3 linked regions of the Oryctolagus cuniculus genome follow. The protein of the gene in region 1 purifies or fractionates together with the protein of each later gene. This does not show direct contact. Links are inferred from orthologs where the notes say so. Each region holds a gene or a part of one and is shown on either strand. Other genes may lie near its edges. The genes, in order: ATP6AP2, ATP6V1F and CCDC115.

Evidence for each region.
Region 2: the proteins of ATP6AP2 (region 1) and ATP6V1F purify together in Homo sapiens (affinity purification with mass spectrometry; 3 studies listed by BioGRID and IntAct, counting the BioPlex papers as one, with this or other methods). This does not show direct contact. The link is inferred for Oryctolagus cuniculus from reciprocal best matches to the Homo sapiens genes ATP6AP2 and ATP6V1F.
Region 3: the proteins of ATP6AP2 (region 1) and CCDC115 purify together in Homo sapiens (affinity purification with mass spectrometry; 3 studies listed by BioGRID and IntAct, counting the BioPlex papers as one, with this or other methods). This does not show direct contact. The link is inferred for Oryctolagus cuniculus from reciprocal best matches to the Homo sapiens genes ATP6AP2 and VMA22.

What each region holds. Positions count from the first base shown.
Region 1 is NC_091453.1:26,471,562-26,479,196, reverse strand, and holds part of ATP6AP2 (renin receptor), read right to left. Parts: intron 2,778-7,635; coding exon 2,682-2,777; intron 2,529-2,681; coding exon 2,391-2,528; intron 1,676-2,390; coding exon 1,622-1,675; intron 697-1,621; coding exon 547-696; intron 1-546. UniProt on the Homo sapiens protein: Multifunctional protein which functions as a renin, prorenin cellular receptor and is involved in the assembly of the lysosomal proton-transporting V-type ATPase (V-ATPase) and the acidification of the endo-lysosomal system.
Region 2 is NC_091434.1:165,052,174-165,060,268, reverse strand, and holds ATP6V1F (V-type proton ATPase subunit F), read right to left. Parts: upstream 4,208-8,095; 5' UTR 4,003-4,207; coding exon 3,845-4,002; intron 1,886-3,844; coding exon 1,684-1,885; 3' UTR 1,384-1,683; downstream 1-1,383. Other genes in the region: protein SPMIP1, read right to left, coding at 376-796. UniProt on the Homo sapiens protein: Subunit of the V1 complex of vacuolar(H+)-ATPase (V-ATPase), a multisubunit enzyme composed of a peripheral complex (V1) that hydrolyzes ATP and a membrane integral complex (V0) that translocates protons.
Region 3 is NC_091434.1:120,826,853-120,835,214, reverse strand, and holds CCDC115 (coiled-coil domain-containing protein 115), read right to left. Parts: upstream 4,290-8,362; 5' UTR 3,783-4,289; coding exon 3,672-3,782; intron 3,596-3,671; coding exon 3,492-3,595; intron 3,414-3,491; coding exon 3,331-3,413; intron 2,844-3,330; coding exon 2,712-2,843; intron 1,438-2,711; coding exon 1,325-1,437; 3' UTR 570-1,324; downstream 1-569. Other genes in the region: U3 small nucleolar ribonucleoprotein protein IMP4, read left to right, coding at 4,549-4,551, 4,660-4,768, 6,314-6,397, 6,948-7,057, 7,156-7,288, 7,377-7,531, 7,615-7,709, 7,793-7,866 and 1 more. UniProt on the Homo sapiens protein: Accessory component of the proton-transporting vacuolar (V)-ATPase protein pump involved in intracellular iron homeostasis.

The sequences.
Region 1 (7,635 bases):
CAGCAGTCTTCCTAAGTCCTCTCTGGTTAATCACAAACTTCTACAAAGAACTAGAGATCTGCAGGTGGGCAACTTCAAGGGTAGAGAACAAGCATTTATTATGCACCTACTAAATGTCTGGCACCGTGCTAGGTATTCTACTTTGGCTATCTCACAGTGCTTAATGAGTACAGAGTTTCAGCTGAGGAAAATAAGAAAGTTCTTGTGATAGAGGTGGTGATGGCTGTACAATATGTAAATATGCTTGAGGCCACTGAACCATACACTTACAAATGGTTCCAATGGTAAGTTTTATATATTCACACACACACACACAGTACTATACCAGATGTATCACTCATTTCCTAATGCTGCCCCTTCCAACGTCAGGAAAAAGTATCCCAATGTACATACGCCACCTTTGATCCCGCTCTGTCCTTGGCCACTGTGCGGAGAGGTCCCCCGCAGAGGACACGTAAGACTTGCCCGTGTTTCATGGAGCAGTTCTCCGTGAGGCTCAGCGTGAGACGGGCGTGCCCCCGCCTCTCTTACCCAGGGGGCATTTACCTTCTGCAGGGCGTCCACAAGGATCCTAGAAGCATCCTGGAACTGCTCAGACTCTTCCCCGTAGCGCTTCCCAATTTCATCCAAGCCTGCCAGCTCCAGCGAATACAGATCTGGAGAGTGATCCTTGGCTAGATGCTTATGTCGTGACAACTTAGCAGAACAAATAAAACAAGATCATGGATGAAGTACAGCATCAGACACAGCCATCTGAGGTTTTATGCCTTACTGCACTGGGCTACAGAGAACCACAGCAGCATGCCACGGCAGACAGACAGTCTAAAGTGGGGGCGAGGGGAACTGGCTTTAAGCGGAGGTTTTTGATAAAACCCACCTAACACAAATCTCATTGTTAGGAGCAGTTCCGGACCCCCTGAATATGTAATAAAAGCTCATCACAAAATGCCTTAGTTCTAAAACTTCAGATACGAGCCCGGGGGTTAAAGAACAGATGGCTGGCCTGGCTTGGCCTCAGGAATACACGAGCCACTGGTGGCCAAAGGGGAGACGCCTCCCACGGGCCCTCCGAGACCACCTCCTAGCGTCCCAGCACTATAGTTCCACAACTTCTCCCTCCCCCAAAGCAACACCTGCTGCAAAGCTTAGGAACCAACTTCAGCAGCAAGCAGATAGGTAAGAATTTTGATTTCAGTCACAAGGATGATTTTCTAAAATGCATTCACCACAAAAATGCCTTTCAGACAGATTTAGTTCCTCTTGACTTTTTCGACAGCACTATTAGCCCAAAGTGCTATTTCTATTTTAGGCCCAAAGATGCAAAAAGTAAGTCTTAGTGTCTGAGAAGAACTCAATGGTCAAGTTAGGACTACAGCTGAGGCGTTCTTATTCCCAGGTCTGTGTCCTTGGAGGATATATTGTCTCTCCTAAGAGTAGAAACGTCAAGTAATTGGTCTTTAACATGAGATGAGTTTACAACTCCCAACACCACCACTAATTTCCCAGTTTTCATGAGATCACAAATCTTGGGCATAAACTTTTCAAATGTCTTCACTATCATTCAGGGAATTCTCTAGAAACTAGGCCAAATGGAACTGAGAAATGAGAGCAGGCAACTTACCAAACTTGAAATGTCCTGTAACACTTGCAGTTCAGAAAGAAAGAGCAGGTCAACCTTCAGAGCCAAAGGAAACGAGCATTACTTTAAATATGCATCAGAGAGCTGTACAAGGGGACTTCAAAAAACTCACGGAAGGGGCCAGTGCTGTGGCGTAGCAGATAAAGCTGCCGCCTACAATGCTGACATCCCATATGGGTGCCGGTGCGAGTCCCACCTGCTCCACTTCTGATCTAGCTCCCTGCTAATGTGCCTGGGAAAGCAGTGGAAGGTGACCCAAGTCCTTGGGCCCCTGCACCTGTGTAGGAGACCCAGAAGAAGCTCCTGGCTTCAGATTGGCCCAGCCCATCGTTGTGGCCATCTGGGGAGTGAACCAGCAGATGGAAGATTCTCTCTCTCTCTCTGCTTCTGTCTGTAACTCTGCCTTTCAAATAAAAAAAGTGGCAGTAGCACTGAACAATGGCTTCCATGTGACCAGGACTACATGGTTCCGCTAGCCGCCAAGGAGACACGATTTCTGACCCATCTTGAGTAATGGTGGCAGTGTGTGTGGAGGGGGACCGGACCCTCATGCTAGAAGGTAATACTATTTTCTACAGCTCAGTTCACAAAAACAATCAGTTTACTCACGAGCTCTATATGAGAACAACCACAGAGAATCTACTACAGCAGAAAACTTGCACAACTTTCATTTTCTAAAATCTCAAACGGCATAAGGAATAGGAAACTAATGATGATTTTCATTTGCTCATTCAGCAACCACTCCACTTACTTCATTGTTCCTGCTCAGAGAATTGAGGGGGAGGGAATTGAGAATGGAGCTTTCCTGGAACAGGCGGTTACGAAGCTGCCGTAAAGTGACCGAGAGATCTTCAAACACGGAGTTTGCCTTCCCCACCATATACACTCTCTGCGAGGAGAATCCCAGATGTTACGTGACAGTCTACAGATTAATCCCAATTTACCCAGGTCTCACAGCGCTTTTCATAAAATTGTTAGTGTTGTTATCATGAAATAATGAAAGGTTAGTTTTAAAAGCATCAATAAAAACTTCATTACTCACTTCTTCACTGGGGGCCAACTGCAAAACTACAGGAGTTTCTTCGGAAAATAAGGAGTGAATGGAATTTGCAACGCTGTCAAGACTAAAAGGAACTGCCTGAAATAGAAGAGTAAAAAAACCACCATTATTATCTGAACCGAAGTGGAAAGAAAAATCATTCAGATGGCATTGAAAAGGAGCCTTACAAGGAGAAGGCACCAGCACTTTCTATGGAAATTTAGAAGACACAAATCACTTCTGAATAAAAAGACCCCCTGTGGAGGGCACAGAAGATGAAACCGCCCCCTAGTGGGCCGAGTCGGGATCTGCCAGTGTGCCTAAGTGGGAAATAATTGGCCCAGGTCTAACGCGGACCATTTTCTGGTTATTCGTGTATCCAAGGCAGCAAAACATTTGGTTTCAATACTGATTAAATGTACCATATCGAATTGTGCATTCCACAGCAAAGTATTAACTTGCATCGAAGAGAAGGCTAAAGGAATCTGAATTCATTTATTATTATTTATTGAATTTAACGGTAAGAGAAAACAGACCTCATTTTCTTTTCAAAGTTTAAAAATGTTCCCTAAGATTTGGAGTTTGTCTTCAGCTGGCCTGAAGACCCATAGACAAGGGGTGGAGAGCACACCCCAGAATTCTGAAGCCTTTATCTCGGGACCACATGACGGTATTAGCTGAAAAGGCTGGCTGTGAAAAGACCTACTTTTTCACTGAACTTTTTTTTTTAGCCAAGTGTTAACATACATACAACAGACGGCGCAAACCCTAAGGTCCCAGCTCAACGAGGGCTTCCGAGGGAATGTGCCTGGGGTAGCAGCCACATCAAGACACAGAGCACGCTGGCGCCCCGGAGGCACTCTCCTCCACCCTCTGGCTTCTAGCCCCATATACTTGTTTTGCTTTAAGTGATTTAAAAATATATATTGGGGCCGGCGTTGTGGCACAGCAGGTTAAGCCACTGCCTGTGCTGGCGTCCCGGCTGCTCTACTTCCAATCCAGCTCCCTGCCAATGTGCCTGGGAAAGCAGCGGAAGGTGGCCCAAGTCCTTGGGCCCCTGCACCCATGTGGGAGACCTGGAAGAGGCTCCTGGCTTTGGCCTGGCCCAGCCCCAGCTGTTGCAGCCATTTGGGGAGTCAACCAGCAGATGGAAGGCCTTTCTGTCTTTCCCTCTCTCTCTGCAGATCTGCCTTTCACATAAATATTTAAAAATATATATATATTTTCTTCTCAAAAAATTATTCCTTATATTACTGTACTCAAACAAGCAGTAGTGATTTTTTTCCTCCAGTAGTTCCCTTTCCTACTGAACGGTTCATGTTTATAAGTAGCAAATTAATGCTAATGTGCTACAGGCAGAAATCGATGTGATTATATAAATCTTGCTGATGAAATCCCAGCATCAAAATTAAGCTTATCAATTTCATGATACTGCAAAATGAAATCAATTTTTTCTCTTACTTAGGATGCACATTAACTCTTCTAAAAACTTTCTTAAAATGAGTTAATGAGTAACTGAAGAGGGTGCAAACTTGCAAAAGCTTCCTGTTGCCAGCCTCCTGGAGTCGGCTGCCAGCGCTTTCCCTTTGCCATCAGAAAGCTCACTTCCTCAGGCTTTGGAGGGACTACAAGATACTTCAAAATGTTCAAGGAAAAATGGAATTGAAAGACAAGTTTATTTTGGTGCAAAAAAGTTGAAATACATGCATACAAGAGGTCTTAAAATAAACATCTTGTAATTCCATCTCCCACAAACTCTTTGAAGTACTCTCCGACATGAGCAAGTGACAGAGACTCGCCAGCACATCTCACTGGTGAGACGGCACTGGGTGCCGGGTGGAAGTTAGAAAGTGTGTTGGGGTGGGAGTGGGCTAAGGAAGACAAAGCAGCTGCAGAAGCTCCCCTGGGAAGCAGCCCAGGATTTCACACTACCAAGTCCTGCCCAGAGCCCAGTAACTCTCCAGGCGGTCCCAGCCTTCCCGCCCCAGGAAAGCTCCCGAGATCCTCTCTCCTCAGCCCCACGTGGGCTACCTCACCAGACAACGTGGGCTACCTCACCAGACAACGTGGAGCAATAAAACCTTCACAGCTTTCCCCCAGGGCAGGCACCCTAGGGGCAGCCCCTCTGCCTGGCGCCAGGAACCCCCCCAGTCTGACAGCACCGCGTCCTGAACCCTTGGGAGGAATTCACCTAACGCACACTCAGCAAACCCTTCGTCCTGGAGGAGGAGGAGGGGGAGACGCGGAGAGAACTGGGCCCATCCCCTTAGAAGCCCCAGCGTGAGTACAGACTGCGCTCAGCTCTCAGCACTCTGCTGAGCCGCCCGCCCGGCCTGCCAGGTGCATTCTCTCCATGGAACCCTGTGACCCTGCCTTCCCCAGCCCGAGTGAGTGGGCGCTCTTTCTCAGAGTCTGTGTGCAGAGGTGCCCATCTGTTCTCATGGCTGCCCCACCCCATTACACCTTGCTACTCTCTGCTCACGTCTGAATTCTTTCTTGCGAGCAGACAAGACCCTATCACACCCATCTCTGCTAACACTTCTAGGTTTTAAAAAATATCATGAAGGGTCTGTGCTCTGAGCCTTACGTCTCAGCAGCTTCTGGTGGGGGAAAAGTGTTTTTGAGAGCGGCCAATCAGGGGCAAGCAGTAGAAAGAGCTCCTTCCCCAGCTTGCGGGTGTGTGAAATGCGCCCGGGCCATTTGCCAGTGTCTACTTTGTGATTACATGCTGCTGGGAATCGTGAAATGGCATTTTGGACTTTTTTATTTAAAGGAAATCTCCTATAATATTTTTCTCCGAAGTTGCATAATACATTACATAAATACTCCTGGGGGAAAAATAATCTGCCTTTTCATCTGTATGGTTCCCTCCCACTTTACTCGCACTTCCTGTGAAACTCTTCTGGTTTCTTTAAGCTCATTAATTTCCAATCGTGCTCCATCTAAATTGTCTAACATGCACAGGTAAGGCTATACATTTCCCTTCTCTTACCACTTCAGCTGCACCCTACAACTTTGTAACAAATATATGCCACATTCATTGCTATTCACTTCCAAATACTGTAGAAATTCCCACAGTGACTTCCTCCTCAAGCCACGCATTATTTAAGAGTGTATCTATTTGTTCCAACTCTTCTTGATTTTTTAGAATAAATTTCTTTCCAAAGTGACATACACACATGGCTTAAAGAGACGAACAGGTCCATAAGACTTCTTGTGCCACTTTGCATTCCTTCTGAGGGACTCAGCTTGCAATCCGTCAATTACTTCCTTTTGTTTTTACCACCTGCTCTAAATAAGACACTCAGCTCACTGAATCGATGTTTCCATTTGAGGCGCTTCCTGTGTCCTGTCCCTTCTAGAACACGAGGATGAGCTCTCCCACACCCCAAGCACAGCCCCAGCCCCTGCCAGCGCCGGGATCCTTTTCCGTCTCTCCAGCCTCCCAATCGTTCCATGGCATTGTCCCTGCTTAGCACTGTTTCATTATGACGCTAGGTAAGTAATACTGGCAGCCTACCTTACACCCCACAATCACTGCTTCTCCCTTCTGACTCTCCTGGTCCGCAGTGGCAGTGACAATGAGGGGACATCTATTATCATTCTACTCTCATTCCTTTGTAACGATAATGTCTTTTCTGTCTGATAGCATTTAAGATCTTCTGTTTCCTTTTGTAATGTCTCTATATCTAGATACCAATTTGGCTTTACCTGCTGGGTGTGCAGTATATTTTAAACCCTAGGAGTCGTATCTTTTGTTTGTTTTTATCATTTCCACATACTTTCGTTTTTAACTGACAAATAATTGTATATATTTATGAGGTTCAGTGTGCTGTTTTGACACATGTACACATCGTGGAATGATCAAATCAGGTTAGTTAACAAATCCATCACTTCACGTACTTATCATTGTTTTGTGGCTAAGACATCTAAAATCTACTCTTTAACCAATTTTGAAGAACACAATGCATTATTATTATGCCATTCTTGCACCATTCTGTGCAACAGGTCACTAACGCCTGAGCCAGCAATTCCACTTCAGCCTGTGTATGCGAAGGAAATGAAAGCACGCCAAAGGGCTGTCTGCACCTGCACGCCGTGTCCGCTGCAGGCCCAGGGTCCACCCGCAGGTGACAGGATTAAGAAAGTGTGACGTATGCACACAAGGGAGGACTATTCAGTCTCAAAAAGGGGGTGAAGCCTGTCATTTGCAACAACACTGACAAGCCTGGATGACGTTACGATAAGTGAAATCAACCAGGCACAGGACAAATACTGCATGATCTCATTTGTAGGTGGAATCTAAAAGAGCTGGCTTAAATACAGAGAGTAGACTGATGGTTACCAGACACTGCAGCGGGACTGGATGGGGAAAATGGCCAATGCTGATCTGAACACAATCCTAAACAACCATTTTGTCTTTATGCTCAGATTTAGCTGCATTGTGGTTATCTGATATGGAATTCTTCATTGTTGAGATCTGCCTTATGGCCTAGCACATGGGTCATCTTTTGTAGTATCCCATGTGTGCCTGGGATTAATTTAATCTAGACCACAGCAACATCTGAACAAAAAATTCAGTCTTGGGGCTGGCACCATCGCACAGCAGGTTAAGACACCATCTGCAGTGCTGGCGTCCCATATGGGCACCGGTTCAAGTCCTGACTGCTCCACTTCTGATCCACCTGCCTGCTAATGTGCCTGGGAAAGCAGTGCAAGATGGCACAAGTGGTTTGGCCCCTGAAACCATGTGGGAGGCCTGGGAGAAGCTCCTGACTCCTGGCTGCAGCCTGGCCCAGCCCTGGCCATTGCGGCCATTTGGGGAGTAAACCAGCAGATGGGAGATTTCTCTCCTTCTCTGTAACTCTGCCTTTCAAATAAATAATTCTTTAAAAAAATTTTGTTTTCCCAAACTCAGCATCATATAGACCACAGTCTTACACAATGCAATGACATT
Region 2 (8,095 bases), on another chromosome or scaffold:
GCCTTAGCCCAGGTCACGGTCATTTCATGCCAGGATAACTCAACACAGATGCCTAACTCACCAGTCTCCAATTCTCACTAAAGGAAAAAAAAAAAAAAGCCATTCCCTATAGAACAGTTGGGGTAATTCTTTTAAAAAAAGCCAATCAGGACCACCCACTGCTTAAAACCTTCCATTGGCTTCTCAATAAAATCCCAACTCCTCTTTGTCATGCAGTGCTCAGCTTTCAGGCCCCAGAGGCCTCTCCCGAGCCCCCAGACCTCTCCATGGTGCCTGTCCCTCTTGTACCTTCCCTTCTCTTCCTGAATGTGCCCGCTCCCTGGCACCTGGCGCTGCTGTGGGGCAGGTGCCTAACCTGCGGGGCTCAGGGCTCACCGAGCTGCCAGCCGTATGTGAAGCTGGTGGTGATGGGGAAGAGGTAGCGTGTTTCGGGCAAGTCCAGCTTGCGCGTGCTCAGGTAGCGGTAGCGGCCCTGGAAGTCGTGGGAGATGCCTTCGTACAGCAGGGCCCGGGTGGCGGGCAGCACCGGGTACATCTCCGACTGCAGGGGAGCCTCTGCGGCAGGGCTGGGCGCCTTGGGAGGGGCTGCTCCGGGGGCAGGAGGGGGTGCGGGTGGGGCCGTGGGCTGCAGGGTGGGCAGTTTGAGGGGCAGTCGGGCTGCGGCCTTAGCCTTCTGCTTGGCTTTCACCAGCGACCCGTACTTGCGGTGCCATTCACAGCGCAACATCTTCTCCCTTAAATAGTCCTCCTTCCAGAAGTTCTGCCGCAGCGTGTCCATGTTGAGCTGCCGAGACATGGCGGCAGGGGGTGGGGGAGCCGTGCCAAGGGCGAGCACGGCAAGCACACTGCGGCTGGCAGCAGGTGGCCGCCCTGGGGCAGTCACCAGGCAACCAGGCCTCACCTCACACAGGGGCAGGGTTCCACCTGCTGCGCCCACACAGACCTCACACGCCCCACTCCTGAGGCAGCCTGGAGCCCGGGCCCAGTGCTGAGATCCTGACACCGGCTGGCGCTGCAGGCCCCGGGCCCAGTGCTGGGATCCTGACACCGGCTGGCGCTGCAGGCCCCGGGCAGGATCTGGTATCACCGGCTCCCAGGTTTCTTGTGCTTTCTGCTAACTTCCCCCGGCTCAGGCCCCCTTCTGCCCAGTGCAGACTGAGGCGGGAGAGCCACAGGCTGGGCTCAAGCCTCGTACCCCCACCCCCCCAGCTGGTCTTTTTGAACCAGAGGGCCAGTGCCTGAGTTAGGGCCTCCTGGCACATCTTCCTGGGCCAGCTCGTCCATGCCTGGTCCTTGGTGGAACATTTTCCACCCCTGCCAATCTCATCTCCCCCAGGAGCCTCATCTCCCCCCCCCCCCTTCCTGTCCAGTACCCAGGCCCAGTTTTTGGACAGAAGCCAGAATATTACTTTAATTTAACATGGACAACGACACTGGGCGACAGCACGGGGAAGAGGTCGTGGAGAGAGAAGACGGTCAGGCCTCCTGTTCCCTAACCAGCCTGGCTTTTAATAGCAGCATCCCAGCAACCTAGATGCCCCTCACACAGCCTCTCCCTGGGGTGGGAAGGAGTGGAGACGTGGAAATCAGAGGCTTGAACCTTCAGAGCGGGGCTGGGGACAAAGCCGGGGAGAGGCCTGGAAGGGCGGGAGGGGCTGAGGGCCGTGCTCCGCGGGGCGTGTCCTAGCGCAGGTCTTCGGCGGTGAACATGCCCCTGGCCCTGCGCAGGATGGAGTCCTTGGCGGCGTCATAGGGGTGCTCCTTGGAGGGGATCTCCAGCACGGCCGGGATGGAGCGCTGGTGGGCGTCCAGCGCGTGCCGCACCATCTCCGCGATGTACTGGTTGATGAGGATGATGCCGACGTCGTCCCGGCTGAGAAACTGCCTGCCGGGAGAGACGAGAAGCGAGTCCGGGGCAGCTCCCGGCGGCCCGCTCGGAACTGCAGAGGAAGAGGAGTGACCCGGGGAGCAGAGAGGACCAGGGCAAAGGTGGAGTCTGCTTGACCCAGAATCAACTGCACTCAAGAGCTCAGGGTTCTGTTAGCCAGGGCCTGCTTGTACGCCCCTGCCTGGGGAGCTTCCGAGTGAACCAAAGCTGAAGATGAGGGTGTCCACGCGTGCGCTCAGGGTGCTGCCCTGCTATCAGACAGGGAAGGGTGGGGATACGTGTGGGGCGGGCATTCGGCTCAGCGGTTAAGATGCCACTCGGCCTGGACTTGGGATGCCAGCGCTGCAGGCGGCGGCTCAACCCGCTGTGCCCCAGCGCCAGCAACTATGCATCCCTTCCTATCTGCATGAAGAGCTAGGAGAGTGATCAGGCAGAAGCTAAATGGCTGTCTACAGGAGCAGACAGGGAGATGGGGTGTGTGTGTGTGTGTGGCAGGAGGCTCCTCAATGTACACCTTTTTTTTTTTTTTGACAGGCAGAGTGGACAGTGAGAGAGAGAAAGGTCTTCCTTTGCCGTTGGTTCACCCTCCAATGGCTGCCGCGGCCTGTGCGCTGCGGCCTGCGCACCGCGCTGATCCGATGGCAGGAGCCAGGTACTTATCCTGGTCTCCCATGGGGTGCAGGGCCCAAGCACTTGGGCCATCCTCCACTGCACTCCCGGGCCACAGCAGAGAGCTGGCCTGGAAGAGGGGCAACCGGGACAGAATCTGGTGCCCTGACCGGGACTAGAACCCGGGGTGCCGGCGCCGCAAGGCGGAGGATTAGCCCATTGAGCCGTGGCGCCGGCCTCAATGTATACCTTTTAAAAACTGAATTGGAAACCACATGAAGGCATTCAATGTCCAGAGGAAACCAAATCCATTACATTTTCGAAAAACAGGACCCAGGGGGCCTCAAGGTCACCATGTCTGTGCTAAGGGAGGACGGGGTGCCTGGCCCAGGCCAAAGCACAGGTGGGAAGAGGAATTCAGCACTGAAGGGCTCGCACTTTCCGCACAGACGGCCCTGGCCCTGCGGAGCCCTGGCCCGGGACGGCCCGTGCGTTATTTCTCAGGAAGAGCTCCGTCCTGGGCACCCACCCTGTGCCCGACCCTGTGCCCGGCAACACTTGATCTCGAAGTTTCTTTTTGGTTGGAAGCATGGACAATCCTTGGAGTAAAATTCCTCCTTGTCCCATGACAACCCGGGTCACCCTGCCAGACTGCTTGGTGATCCGCAGACAGCTGCCTCCCCAGGGCAAAGCCCCACGGTACCCCAGGCAGCAGAACTGGTTTCAGCCAGCAGCTGTGGGCTGGGCTGTTTAGGGGGAAACAAGTGAGAGAATTCCTGAGACTCGGCAAAGGGAAGGGGTGAAGGAACCAGGGCAGCTCCATTCTAGCACCAGGACACCTGCGGATTAAAAGGCTCAGCTGCGACCGTCGCCCCTGACCCAGGGCAGGAGAGGAGGACGTGAGGTGCAAGGTGTGAGCAGCCCTGACTTTGGGTACCACCACCTGTAAATGGGAACACTAACCCCCACCTTCCAGGTCGACTGGGAGCCCCTAGAGGATGTGGAAGTAGGAGAAAGCCCGGCTCCACGGGTGCGCACCGAGCGCAAAGCAGCCCAGCGCCTGCAAGGCTCGCAGCCGGCTGTGCCCGTCACCAGCTCTCTTCCTCTTCTTTCCTGACACACGGTCATGTGAGAGGGAGCGCGCGGACCTGTCACGACCACAGCCTCAGGCCCACCGAATCGCAAGAGGGAACGGGGGACGGGGGGCGCAGAGGCCTCCAGGCCGGCGTGAGGAGGCCCGCCCTCGGGTCGGGGTCTGACACCTCGGTCCCCGGGCGGCCGCCCCTCGCCCCTTCGCTCCCACCCAGGCGGCAGAAGGGCCCGTTCAGGCCTCTCAGGCGACCGTACCGGAAAGTGTCTTCGATCTCGGTGATGGTCGTGTCCTTCTCCACCACCAGGAAATTAGGGTGGCGGTTCTTGTTAAGCTCCCCGATGCCGCCCAGCAGGAAGCCAGTCACCGTGTCCTCGTCTCCGATCACCGCGATCAGTTTTCCCCTCCCTGCCATCCTGGTCGCGGCGCAGAGAGCGGCCCCGAGCTCCCGAAGTCCCCGAATCCCAGCTTCCGCACCTGTAGCCGGGTTGGCCTCGCCCCCGCCTTTCAGACATGCGCAGTTCGGCCACACCGCCTCCAGGACATGCGCATTAACAGCAAGGCCGCCTCAACCTGAATATGCCTGCGCCATAAAGAGAGGCCGAACCCGAGGACTACGATTCCCAGAAGGCTGAGCGGCCGCACGGCTTCCTATTGGCGTTGCTTGGTTCGTTCTGCAGAAGCAGCGCTGTGGGACCCCGCAGGAGAAACTGCACTCGCTGTTCTCAAGGGCAAGAACATGTCTGTATCATGTATGTATGTATGTAGCCATGACTCATAGTTAACAGTTACTGAATACAGAAAGTTTGTGGGAGAATGGAATTAGAAGTTAAACTGAGGGGCAGGTGCTGTGACGTGGTAGGCTAAGCACCCACCTGTAGCGCCTGCATCCCAAATGGACACTGGTTCGAGTCCGGGCAGCTCCACTTCCGATCCAGCTCCCTGCATGGCCTGGGAAATCAGCGGAAGATGGCTGAAGTGCCTGGGCCCCTGCACCCATCTTAAGTGTTCAAGGTAAGGCAAAAACCACTTGCACTGGAGAGTATAGGGCATTCAGGAAAAGTTAAAGAATCTGGAGGTTTCCCTGAGGACAGCGGTTCTAGAGCTGCCCGTGTGACTGTGGTGCACAGAGGCGGGGCTGCAGGAGCAGAGAGCACACTGGGACGCCTCTGTGGTTAGAGATGGTGGCCGATTTCCAGCAGTGGTCATAGAGGAGGTGGCTGGAGAAGAATGGACAAACCCTAATTGTTTTAGAGGCAGACATGGAGAGAAAGCCCCCTTTCACTGCCTGCAACGGCCAGAGCTGCGCTGGGCCAGAGCCAGGAGCTGGTAATGTGACCCAGGTCTCCCCTGGGGGTGGCAGGGACCAGTTACTGGAGTCATTGCCTCCCAGGGTGTGCGTTGTCGGGACGCTGCAGCCAGGAATTTGGCTCAGGTCTTCCTGTCTGGGATGCGGGCCAGGCCACAGCCAGGAGTCAGGAGCTTTATCTGCGTCTCCCACATGCACATAGGTGACAGGAGACCGAACACTGGGCCATCTTCTGCTGCTTTTCCCATGCCATTAACAAGCAGCTGGATTGGAAGTGGAGCAGCTGGGATGTGAACCCGCTACATCACAATGCCAGCCCCTGGATTTGGGTGTCTTTTTTTTTTTTTAAGATTTATTTATTTATTTAAAAGGCAGAGTTATGGAGAGGCAGACACAGAGAGAGAGAGAGAGACAGAGAGAGAGGTCTTCCATCCACCAGTTCACTCCTCAAATGGCTGCAACAGCTAGAGCTGGGCCAATCTGAAGCCAGGAGCCAGGAGCTTCTTCCAGGTCTCCCATGCAGGTGCAGGGGCCCAAGCACTTGGGCCATCCTCCACTGCTTTCCTAGGTCATAGCAGAGAGCTGGATTGGAAGTGGAGCAGCCAGGACTTGAACCAGCTCCATATGGGATGCTGGCGCTGCAGGCGGTGGCTTTACCCGCTATGCCACAGCACTGGGCCCAGAGTTTGGTGTCTTAACCACTAGGCTAAGCACCTGCTCCCAAACTGATTTTTGCTTATTTTATTTATTTGGGTGACAAGGAGAGAGAGAGTGCGTGAGCGAACAAGTAAGCTCTGGGCCAGGCCAAAGCTGGGAGCCAGGAACTCAATCAAGTCTCCCGTGTGGGTGACTGGAACCCAATTACTCAAGCCATTACCCGTGGCCTCTCAGGGTCTGCATTAGCAAGAGGCTGTAATTGGGAGTAAAGCCGGTAAAGTGTTGAACCCAGGCATTTCAACATGGGGTGCAGCAGTTCCAAGCAAGATCTTAACAGCTGTGCCAAACACCCACCCCCGAAACTGGTTTTTGAGTCGAATGTGGAGAGCAAGGTGGAGAGGCGCCCAGGTGATTCCCAGGTTTCTGGTGTGTGCAGCTAAATGACATGAGGAATGTTCCGGAAATAGTGGACTCTGTGAGATGAGGAGGTTGAAGGGGAAAGGACCACTCATTTATCTTCCCTTTCAACAAACGACATCCCCAGCGTCGGGCACGAGCTGTGTGTGAGGAGCGCGTGAGATGCCCGCATGGCTGGCCCACGAGAGGCCTGGGGTGTGCACACCCCTGCGTTTGAATGCGGGCCCCTCACGTAGCAGTGGGTGGCTTTGGGCCCAGGACCTCCATTCTCAGAGCCCGGGTTTCTTCAGCTAATCCTGCGCCCACCTCACAGGGCTGTTCTGGGGATGAAGTGAGAAAGGGCCCATGAATACTCAGCACCCAGAGCCCCGAGCGGCTGGGCTGGAGACCCGGAAATGCACCCACACACACAGTCGGCAGGCAGCAAACCCTCAGAGGAAGCCCTCCATGCAAGGGCGGGGGGCAGGAGGGGTGGGAGGAAGGGCCTGCCCCGAGCCCTGGGCGCAGTGCCTGGCGCCCAGCTGGCCTGCGGGGGTCACGAGTGCCGGGTGCTTAATAGGACACAGCACCTTCCATGCGCTTGCCAGTCACGGAAGGGGCAGGGACAGCGTCACACTCATCACCCGCTCGCTCTTTCCTGCAGCCACCCTTTATCAAGTGGGATTATCATCAGGGGCCGAAGACACAGGGTTGGTAAAAGGGAACTTCTGTCCTCAGGAGCTTCCTGCGGGGCCTGGGGGCAGGGTCCAGAGCAAGGAGGGCAGGGTCCCTCCTTCCCTGAGCGGGAAGAGAAGCAGCTTAAAGGGTGAGGAGGCGGGGAGGAGGTGGTTACCAGCTGCAGCTACAAGTGTTTCGGGTCTTCCCTGGTGCACCTGCCACCATGCGCCACAATGCCTGGGGACCGGCATGGGATAGCCAGGCCCACCGAGCAAGGCGGGTCCTGGTCCTGCTCAGCCTCTCGGGTGCTCTTGAACTGAGTCATTGGCACCCACAGAAGGGCCTCCTGGCCAGGAGCTGTCTGGCGGCAGAGGCCAGATCAGAACGGTGAATGCAGCCTGGGCCGTATGGAGGCTGGGTTGCTGAGCCAGGGAGGGGGCCAGGCAGCTTCCTGTTGGCCAAGAGGAATGGGGGACTCATGAGGCCGAGAGGAGGGGTTGGAGTGGATGGTGTGGAGTGGGCACACTGCCTGAGTCGCACCGGTGGAGGGGCTGGCAGTGAGCCTCCTGGGTCTCGGCCTGGAAGAGTAGGCGTTAGCCGGGGGCAAGAGGGAGCCACAGAAAGGCACAAACCACAGCCGGCCACAGTGCGTTCAGGGTGCCCCTCCTCCAGCTGCAGCCCAGAGGGTGGGCTGGAGGGAGCTGGCCAGGGCCAGGGGGGCCTAATGGAGGCGGCTGGTCCAGGAATCCGGGCCCAGGCAAGCTCAGGGCTACAGGTGGGGGTAGCGCAGGCCCAGTCTGATCCAGACACTGAGGACAGGATGAACTAGAACTAGCCATCTAGGGCAGTCTTCTAAGACATGGAGTCCCCCCACCCCCACCCTGTACTAGCCACCAACCCTCTAGCTAAGGACCAAGCCCTCATCCCCAAGCGGCCATCACAGGTTCTTCCAAGCATTCGGCCAACAGCCCAGATCTTGCCCGAGCCCGGGCCTGTCCTCTGGGGATGGCGATCCAGCCTCCGCCTGCCCAGGACCGCAGTGTCGAGAGGCTGGAAGGCCGCCAGCCCGGGGCGCGCACTCACAAGCAACAGCCGAGCCTCTGCGACAGCCGTACTTTATTTGGAGTTTTCTACCTAGGCAGCTCCCAGATGAGCCGCAGACATGTGCAAAAATCCCCCCAGAAAGCTGGGCCTCGCAGTGTGTAAAAAAGGCCCCCCATGGGGCAGAGCTGTGCAACCGTAAAAAAAAAAAAAAAGGAAAAAGAAAAAACGGAGAGAAATCAGTCCCCTGGGAAGGCTGGGCGGGGTGTGCATCGCTCGGGCAGTCCACGGGCTCTCGCTCCGGGTCTGTTTTCTTCTCTGATTGTGCCTTCTTTTCCAAGTCCTTCCACGCTGGGGGTGTGGCCACCAGGGGGGCCAGACACAATCCTCAGAGCAGGCCTTCCCCTCCCCGCCCACCCGGGGCCAG
Region 3 (8,362 bases), on another chromosome or scaffold:
GCGTGGCCGCGCGCACCTCCCCAACACGCCTGCGCACCACAGCGCGCGCCCCGCCCCGCCCGCCGGCAGCTGGTCCTCACTGCGGCTGCGCCAGCCCCGGCCCCATCCGCACTGTGACCCGAAGCCAAGACGGCGGGTGGAGCGCGCTTTGCCGGGAATCTGCTGTCCCCCTCCGCCCATTTGCGGAGCGTGCCCGCGAGGCCGTGACTGGTGTGCCCAGGCAGACTTTGTGGTCCCAACGTGGCCCGAGCTTGCGGCCGCGTCCGTACTCTGGCCTGTTTCCCTAGCTGGCCCAGCGTGGACTGCGGGATGCCGGCATGAGCCCCACGCTGCGGTGGGCCGTCCCGCCTGGAGGCTCCCACTCAGGCGCCGCGGGAAACCGACTCCCCCAGCCCACCTCCGAGTCCGGCCCCGGTCCGGGCTGCAGCCCCAGGTGGTCAGGAAGGCCGGCGTTGGAGGGGCGAGCGAGACGCAGCCCCACTCCCTGCCCCGGCCACGGGTTGTCGCTCAGCCCTGCTCAGCCGCGGCCCCGACCGCTGACACGCCCGACTTCCTAAGCCATTCCGTTGTTTTGTGCAATTTGATCGAGGTTTTATTTCATAATACAGAATTGTAAAGAGCAACCCCATAAGCCAAGTTAAAAGACACACTGGAAAGAAACATTTTACAGCTGGTATTATGAACAGAGGACGAATTCCCCCCAAACAGAAAGAGCTCCTAGAGATGGCCGAAAAGACCAACTCAGTGGAAAAAGGAATCGAGGGCAGAGTTCCCGCACAGGGAAACACAAATGGCCCCTCAACACGTGACCAGAGGCCTGGCCTCGCTCCGGGTAAGGTAAAGGCAGGTTTTGAAAAGCCCCGAGGGTCTCTCCTCACGGGACCCTTGACAACCGGGACCCTTGACAACCGAGGTCGGTGCAGCCACAGCCTGGAGCTCCCGCCCTCCACTCGGCCCCTTTGAGGAGCCAGTGTGCCGGAAGCACTACTTCTGGGTCTTCCCTGCCGTGGCAGCCACCTCCCCTCCCCCACAGTGGAGCCTCAGCTGACCCATCTAAATGACTGTTGCAGTGAGCAGCCTGTGTACCCGCCCCAGGCAACATGGGCCTGGAGGTGGTCTCAAAGCAGTGGTTTTCAACATTACTCCTCTTCAAACTTCACACCTAACCGAGTTTCAAACGTGGAAACCAGGGACATTGGAAGGAGGGGACATTAGCTGGGCTGCGGCCAGGGGCAGGGGCTCTTCATGAAGGAGGCAGACGGCAGGCGAGATAGCCACATCCCTGGACAGCTGTGCTCTGGGCCCTGGCCCCTGGGTTCGCAGGTCAGGCAGCCCCAGGTTCAAGCTGCCTGAGTTTCTCCTGGAGCTTCCGGAGCTGGCTCTGACCCCAGCTGATGCGGATCTGGAGGGTGGCAATGTCCCCAGCCAGCTGCAGGCCTGGAGAAGAAGCAGAGAGGGTCACTGTGGCCTCTGTCCTCCATACAGCTCATGACAAGCTCCAGGCAGGGGGCCTGCCCTGGCTGCTCTACAACCATGCTGAGCCCACACCCTCATCACCCTCACCTCCTTTAGGGGGATGCTACAATGGCACCTCCTCCTCAGGTTTCCCTGGCCCCCTGGACTCACTAGCAAGTCACAGATCCTAGCTCCTCCCTCCGCCGGTCACAGGCCCTCACTGCTCTCACCCACTCTCCCTCCACCAGAAGAGTCCACACCCCGGATCCGCTTTCTGCCCAGTGTCCACAGAAACAGCTGCTGTCCATGCTGCTCTGTTGGTGGCCCGCTTAGTAGCAGTGCTGACCACACATTCCATCGCTCCCACCAGAAAACGTTCTCCTCTGGGCTTCCAGCACCCCCGCTTTCTGGGTGCCGCTCCTCAGTCTCCTCTCTGCACCCCCAGGCCCGTGCTGATTTCAACCTGTGTCTGCTTTAACCCTGCATCTGTGTCAGCCACATGGTCATTCAGACACCGCACTATGGAGTGGGCTCCTGAATGTGTCTCCAGCACGGGCCTCTCCTAAGCTCCAGGCACGTGTGCCCACTTACCCACTCAGCTTCTCCCTGGGCATGGTGGACACCACACCTCACTCAGAACACACCTGCACCCACACCCTGCTGCCACCGATATCCATCTGGTAGAGACTGTGGACTCTCCTTGACTCCCCTTGACCCCCACATCCAATTGGTCAGCACATACCGGGGCTTCTACTCTCAAAACGCACGCAGGTCCCTCCAGGCACACGTGCCCCTCCACTGCCTCCACCTGCATCGCACACCTGGCTGCTCCTGGCACCAGCTCCCTCCCCCTGCTCTCCAGTCTGTCCCCAGCAAGTGCCGGACCCAAACAATGCCTGTTATTCTGGGAGTCTGACTGTGCCATCTCTTGCTCACAGCTACCCTCGGACTCCCAGGGTCCTCTTCTCTGGGGCCTGCATCACCTGGGCCCAGAGGCCTGGATCCCCTGCCCTCAGCTCCTGGCCTTGCCACTGTACCAACCGCCTCCATCCTTCCTGTAACATGAGATCCTCTCTACACCCCCCCACCCCCCACCCCGCAGTCTGTGTTTTTTTTTTTTTTTTCCCCACAAGTTTTACATTAAGGGCCTACTTCTTTGCACCCTGTCTTTCTCCCCTCCACAAAACAGACGTCTAGGGAAGGGGTCTGTCCCTTTTACTCCTGATTGGGCTTCCAGAATGACGGCGACCACTCACCATCCCGGAAACTGGCTTGCGCCTGCCGCAGACTGTGAGGAACCAGGATTCCAAACCAGTTCAGGGGGTCCTGGGGCGCTGTGGTAGACTCAGGCTCCGGCGTCTTGGTGGGGCCCTTGCGCCGGCGCAGAGCTGGGGAAGGAGACGTTGGAGGAGGCTGGGGTTGGGAAACGGTGTTGAGCTTAATGGTGAGCTCGTGATTCTTGGAAAACACTGCTGGCTGGAAAACCCCGGCCTTTCGCGTTCCTGGAAACAGCCAGCCTGCCTCCCAGGGTTGGGATGACACTCTCTGAGCTCGCTCCCTCACAGGCCCCTGTTTGCCCGGGACGAGGCCACACAGCGACCTTACCCACCTGCCTGAACGTGCTGACGGGCCACGGACCCGCCAGCTGCCCATTCGGTCTCAGGGATGCTTAACTGGGAGCGGCAGGTGGTCGCTCGGACACAAGATGGGCACTTCCGGTTCCCTGGACAGCAAACCGCTTACAACACTTCTGTAACCCTCCGCTTACTTAGACACGATGATCTCCAGACCTGAACGGAACCGTCTCCTGGACTGCGTGTGCACTTTGCCCGTGACATCGGGACGGGGCCCCGACAAGAGGGGGAGGGGGCTCACCTGCCTCGCGGGGCCCCACCTCCTCCGGAATCTGGGCGCCGGCTCTCACCACTCGCAAGTTCTGGAGTCCGTCCGGGGCCTCGCTGGAGGACGAAAAGGGACAGTGTCGGCGGCCTGGCCCTGCACCCTGCCCACCCGCTCCGGAACCCAAGGCTCCTCACCTGGCGCACACGCACACCTGGGGCTCCATGCGGGAGGCGTACTGCAGGGGGCCTACCGACTTGACACCCATGGCGTAGCGCGCCTGGGCGAGCGACAGCCAGCCCTGTGGAGAAGCGAGAGCCTGGAGACTCGGTCTACCTCCGCGCGAGTGCCACCCCCTGCTCACCCCCGGCGCTCACCTCCTCCACACGGCCGTTCAGCGCCGCCCGTTTCGCCTCCAGCTCCTCCAAGTCCGCGAGCAGCTGCAGGATCAGCGAATCCAGTTCCGTCCGCACGTCCCGGGCCGCCATGGGGCCGCCACACTCGGTCTCGGGTCGGCTGAGGACCGGGTCTGGAGCCGCCTCCTTCAGGTCGCCCAATCAGCCAATCGGCATGCGGGACACGCCCCAAGGGGGCGTTCCCATCCAAAGGACCCGGACACGCCAACGGTATCTAGACTCTCATCGCATCACGCAGTTTAAGGGCAGGCTCCCGGCGGGAAGTATAGGAGCCGAGTTCCTCAATTAATGCCCCAAGTAGATCAACCAGCTGCACAGTCTACGAGGGCTAAATGTGGAGGAAGTGGCATTTTAAAAATCATCCTACCACTATAGCAATGGAAAAAGGCGAAGCCGTTTGGCAACCATTTTAAGGAAAGAGTGGCTTTAATTACAGAAGGCGCCTTCAGGTACCTTCCCAATTATTCTCTGTGTTACTGTTACAGCCGATAGGTTTTCTCGAGTCGTCAATCATGACTGCTGTAGCAGTTTATCGCCCGTGGGTAGCCGCTCCGGAAGCCCTCGGCGGCCGACGTATTTGTTAACGGCCCTCCCACGTCACGTGACAGCGTTCTGCCTCCAGCCTATTGGTTACTCCAGCGAGCACGCGCGCCGGACTGGCCAATCGCCTGGAGGCGCCCTTCTTCTGTTCGCCACCTTAACTTCGGGCGCTGTCAATAGTAGGCGATTGCTGCGAAGCCTCGGAGCGCCCTTCCTGAGTGAGGGCGGAAGTGAGGGCAGCACCGCTCAAGCGGTCTCCACATTCTCTCCTGCCTCGCACGTGGAAGGGGCACCCATCATGGTAGGAGTGAGGTTGGAGCTCTTCTTTTCGGGGGGCGGCGGTTCGTCGAGGGCTGGCGCTGGGGCTGCGGGCCTGGGGCGGGTGGTGACCGGAGTTGTTGTTCGATAGCTGCGCCGCGAGGCCCGCCTGCGCCGCGAGTACCTGTACCGCAAGGCCCGCGAGGAGGCGCAGCGGTCGGCCCAGGAGAGGAAGGACAAGGTCCGGCGCGCGCTCGAAGGTAGGGTGTGGGGTCGAGCGGGCGGGGTCGGCTCCCGGTGGGTCTACCCCTGCCCGTGCTGTGTCGCGTCGCGGAGCCGCCCTGTGCGCTGTAGCCTCCGCGTGGCTCGTCCCCAGCGTGGATGTTTTAGCGGAGTCTTGGAGGGCCTTTCCCCGCCGTGGTTTTTCTTCCTGCTGCTCTTGGCAGTGCAGGGGTCCAAGGACTTGGGCCATCTTCTATTGCTTTGCCGGGCCATAGCAGAGAGCTAGATTGGAAGAGGAGCATCCGGGTCTCGAACCGGCTTCCATATGGGATGCCGGCGATTCAGGCTGAGGCTTAACCTACTGTGCCACAACGCTGGCCCCAGTAATCTTTCATTGCCACTTGCAGCGTGGAGTCTGTGGCACACATGCCAGATTGGAAATGCCGGGTTTATCTCTGTTTTGTTGGTGCTTCTGCCAATGGAACTTTGTTTTCTGTATGGTAGTGCATTCCCCTAGTTCCTCGGAAGAACCTGCATTCACTCTGTGGTCCCCTGGTTTTAGGCCTGTGAAGTGTACACATGGTGTTACGTACTGGTGACACATCCCTCTACCTTTAAGAAGTGACAAGCGATCATTACACTGGGATTTGGGAATATTTTCCCTAACTTAGGAGTGTGACTTAAGAATAAACTGTTCTTTTCCTGTTGTTTGTTCTTACATCACACCCATTTTGTCTGGGGAGCAGTGGGGTTCCCAGGGTGTGCCCAGGTGGAGTTCTGGACCCCAGGGAGGGCACCCCCAGCATAGCACCTCAGCCCACCCAGCCGTGGTCCTGAGGAACCTCTGACCCAAAGCAGCTGAGGCCATGCACCTGCAGGCGTTCGGTGCATCTCGCTCAGTGCTCTCCTTGCTGAGGCCTTAAGAAATCCATATTTTTAAAAAAGTTGTGCTATCTGGCTTTATTTTTAAGATTTGCTTTTTATTTACTTGAAAGGCAGTTATAGAGATAGGAGGAGAGACAAAGAGAGAGATCTTCCATCTGCTGGTTCACTCCTCAAATGGCCACAATGGCTGGGGCTGGGCCAGGCCCAAGCCAAGAGCCTGGAGCTGCTTCTAGGTGTCCCACATGAGTTCAGGGGCTCAGACACTTGGGCTCTCTTCCTCTGCTTTCCCAGGAGCATTAGCCAGGAGCTGGACTGCAAGTGCAGCAGCCAGGACACGAACTGGCACCCATATGGGATGCTGGCGCTGCAGGTGGTAGCTTTACCTGCTGCACCAGAATGCTGACCCATCCATTTGGCTTTAAAAATAATGCATGTGCTTGCGGTAAGCTAGAAAGCCTTCAGTTCGTGAGCGCCAGGAAGCCCAGAAAGTGAAGTTTCAGGACCCAGCATTCCCAGGTTAACACGTCGCCAGAATGTGTTGCTTTGCCATCTTCCTCTCCTAGTTACCCTGCATCCCCTGTGCTCCAAAAGGAGCAGGGATCTTTCCGTCAGGTTCCGGGGGGCTGTGCGCTGGGATGTGGGTGGAAGCCGAGGGTCCGTGCTGTGTGTCGCTCAGCCCCTCTGTCTTTCCTCTGCAGAGAACCGCCTGATCCCCACCGAGCTCCGCCGGGAGGCGCTGGCCCTGCAGGGATCCCTGGAGTTTGATGATGCCGGCGGTGAAGGTGACTATGCCATGTGGCCCTCCCTGCCCCTGGGATCTGAGTCCTGTCCCCAGTACAGCACCGCTGGCCTCTCTGTCTGTGTCTTTCTTGGACACGCTGGGCTCTTCCTGGCTGAGGAAACAGGCACAGCAGTCACCCCCGGAACCGTCCCCCAGCGCCCCTGTGTCTGCATGGTGCTCCCGATTGCACACACGGTGGCACCCCCGCATACCCGCTGCTTCTTGTTGGTCATCTCTGCCCCTGGAGTGTCTGCCGGGGCTGGACAGTGTCCCCAGCACGTCGCTGGCAGTCTGACCTTTCATTCATTGTGTAATTCAACGGGGAGGAAAGGAATCTGAAACCTTACAGATACTTGGTGTAGACCTTAGCAGAGCTGGGATTTGCACTGACATGGCAGCCACAAGCGCCCACAGGAGACTTCCTTCGTCGACTGCGCGCTCACGCGTGTGTGTGTGTGTCCGTGTGTTCGTTCTCCGACAGAGCCGGCCGCCCCACGGTAGCCCTTCACCCCAGAGCAGCGTTGTATTCTTGTTCCTCATGCTCCTGACAGGTGTGACCAGCCACATGGATGATGAATATCGGTGGGCGGGGGTTGAGGACCCCAAAATCATGATCACCACCTCCCGGGACCCCAGTTCCCGCCTTAAGATGTTTGCGAAGGTACCGGTGGGCTGGGAGTGAGTGGGGTGGGGGGACGACACCCAGGACGCCCCCCCCCCCCGCCGCCGTCCTGACCGAACGCTGTGGTCCCTGTGCAGGAGCTGAAGCTGGTGTTCCCGGGTGCGCAGCGCATGAACCGAGGCCGCCATGAGGTGGGGGCCCTGGTGCGAGCCTGCAAAGCCAATGGGGTCACTGACCTGCTGGTGGTCCACGAGCACCGAGGCACACCTGGTGAGGTTGAGGCCGGCGGGAGGGTGGGGTAGGGGAAGGGCAGGCTGGGGGTAGGCGGGGACTCTGACTGCCCGGCTGCCCCCTGCAGTGGGGCTCATTGTCAGCCACCTGCCCTTCGGCCCCACGGCCTACTTCACGCTCTGCAATGTGGTCATGCGGCACGACATCCCTGACCTGGGCACCATGTCGGAGGCCAAGCCCCACCTCATCACACACGGCTTCACCTCCCGCCTGGGCAAGCGCGTGAGTCTGGGGGCCCTCGGGATGCAGCTGGGGGCCGGGCCAGGCCAGGCCAGGCGTGGACACTCCCCTTCCCTGTGCCCCAGGTCTCCGACATACTGCGTTATCTATTCCCTGTGCCCAAAGACGACAGCCACCGGGTCATCACCTTTGCAAACCAGGACGACTACATCTCATTCCGGTAAGTCTGCAGGTTGGGCCTGACTGCCGTGTCCCTGCATGGCTGCGGTCGACCCACCCCCTACCCTGGCTCTGTCCCCGCAGGCACCATGTCTACAAGAAGACAGACCACCGCAACGTGGAGCTCACCGAGGTCGGGCCACGCTTTGAGCTGAAGCGTGAGTGTGGGGCTTTCTTCCGGATCCTGGAGAGGGGAGGAGGTTTGCTGTGCTGGTGGTGACGTCCCTGTCCCCCTTCCCCCAGTGTACATGATCCGCTTGGGCACGCTGGAGCAGGAGGCCACGGCCGATGTGGAGTGGCGCTGGCACCCCTACACCAACACCGCACGCAAGAGGGTCTTCCTGAGTGCCGAGTGAGCCGCCTGCAAGTCAGCACATGGGCGTGGAACCCGGGGAGCCCCGGAGCTCCAGTGTGGGACTGTGCGGGATGCAGGGATCCCCATAGAGACTCTCTGTCACGCAGCCTGCCAGCCTCTGAGTGGGGAGGTAGGGCCGGTCCGTTCACGGCAGTGTACTGGCTCCAGCCATCTCTGTGGAGGGCGGCAGCCTCAGGTTAGTGCTCTGTGGGACCCTCTACTCCCTGGGGACACTTGGAGGCTGGGATCTCCCCCAGGCCTCTCCACACTGCTCCCCTCTTTGCGCCCATGTTCCCGGT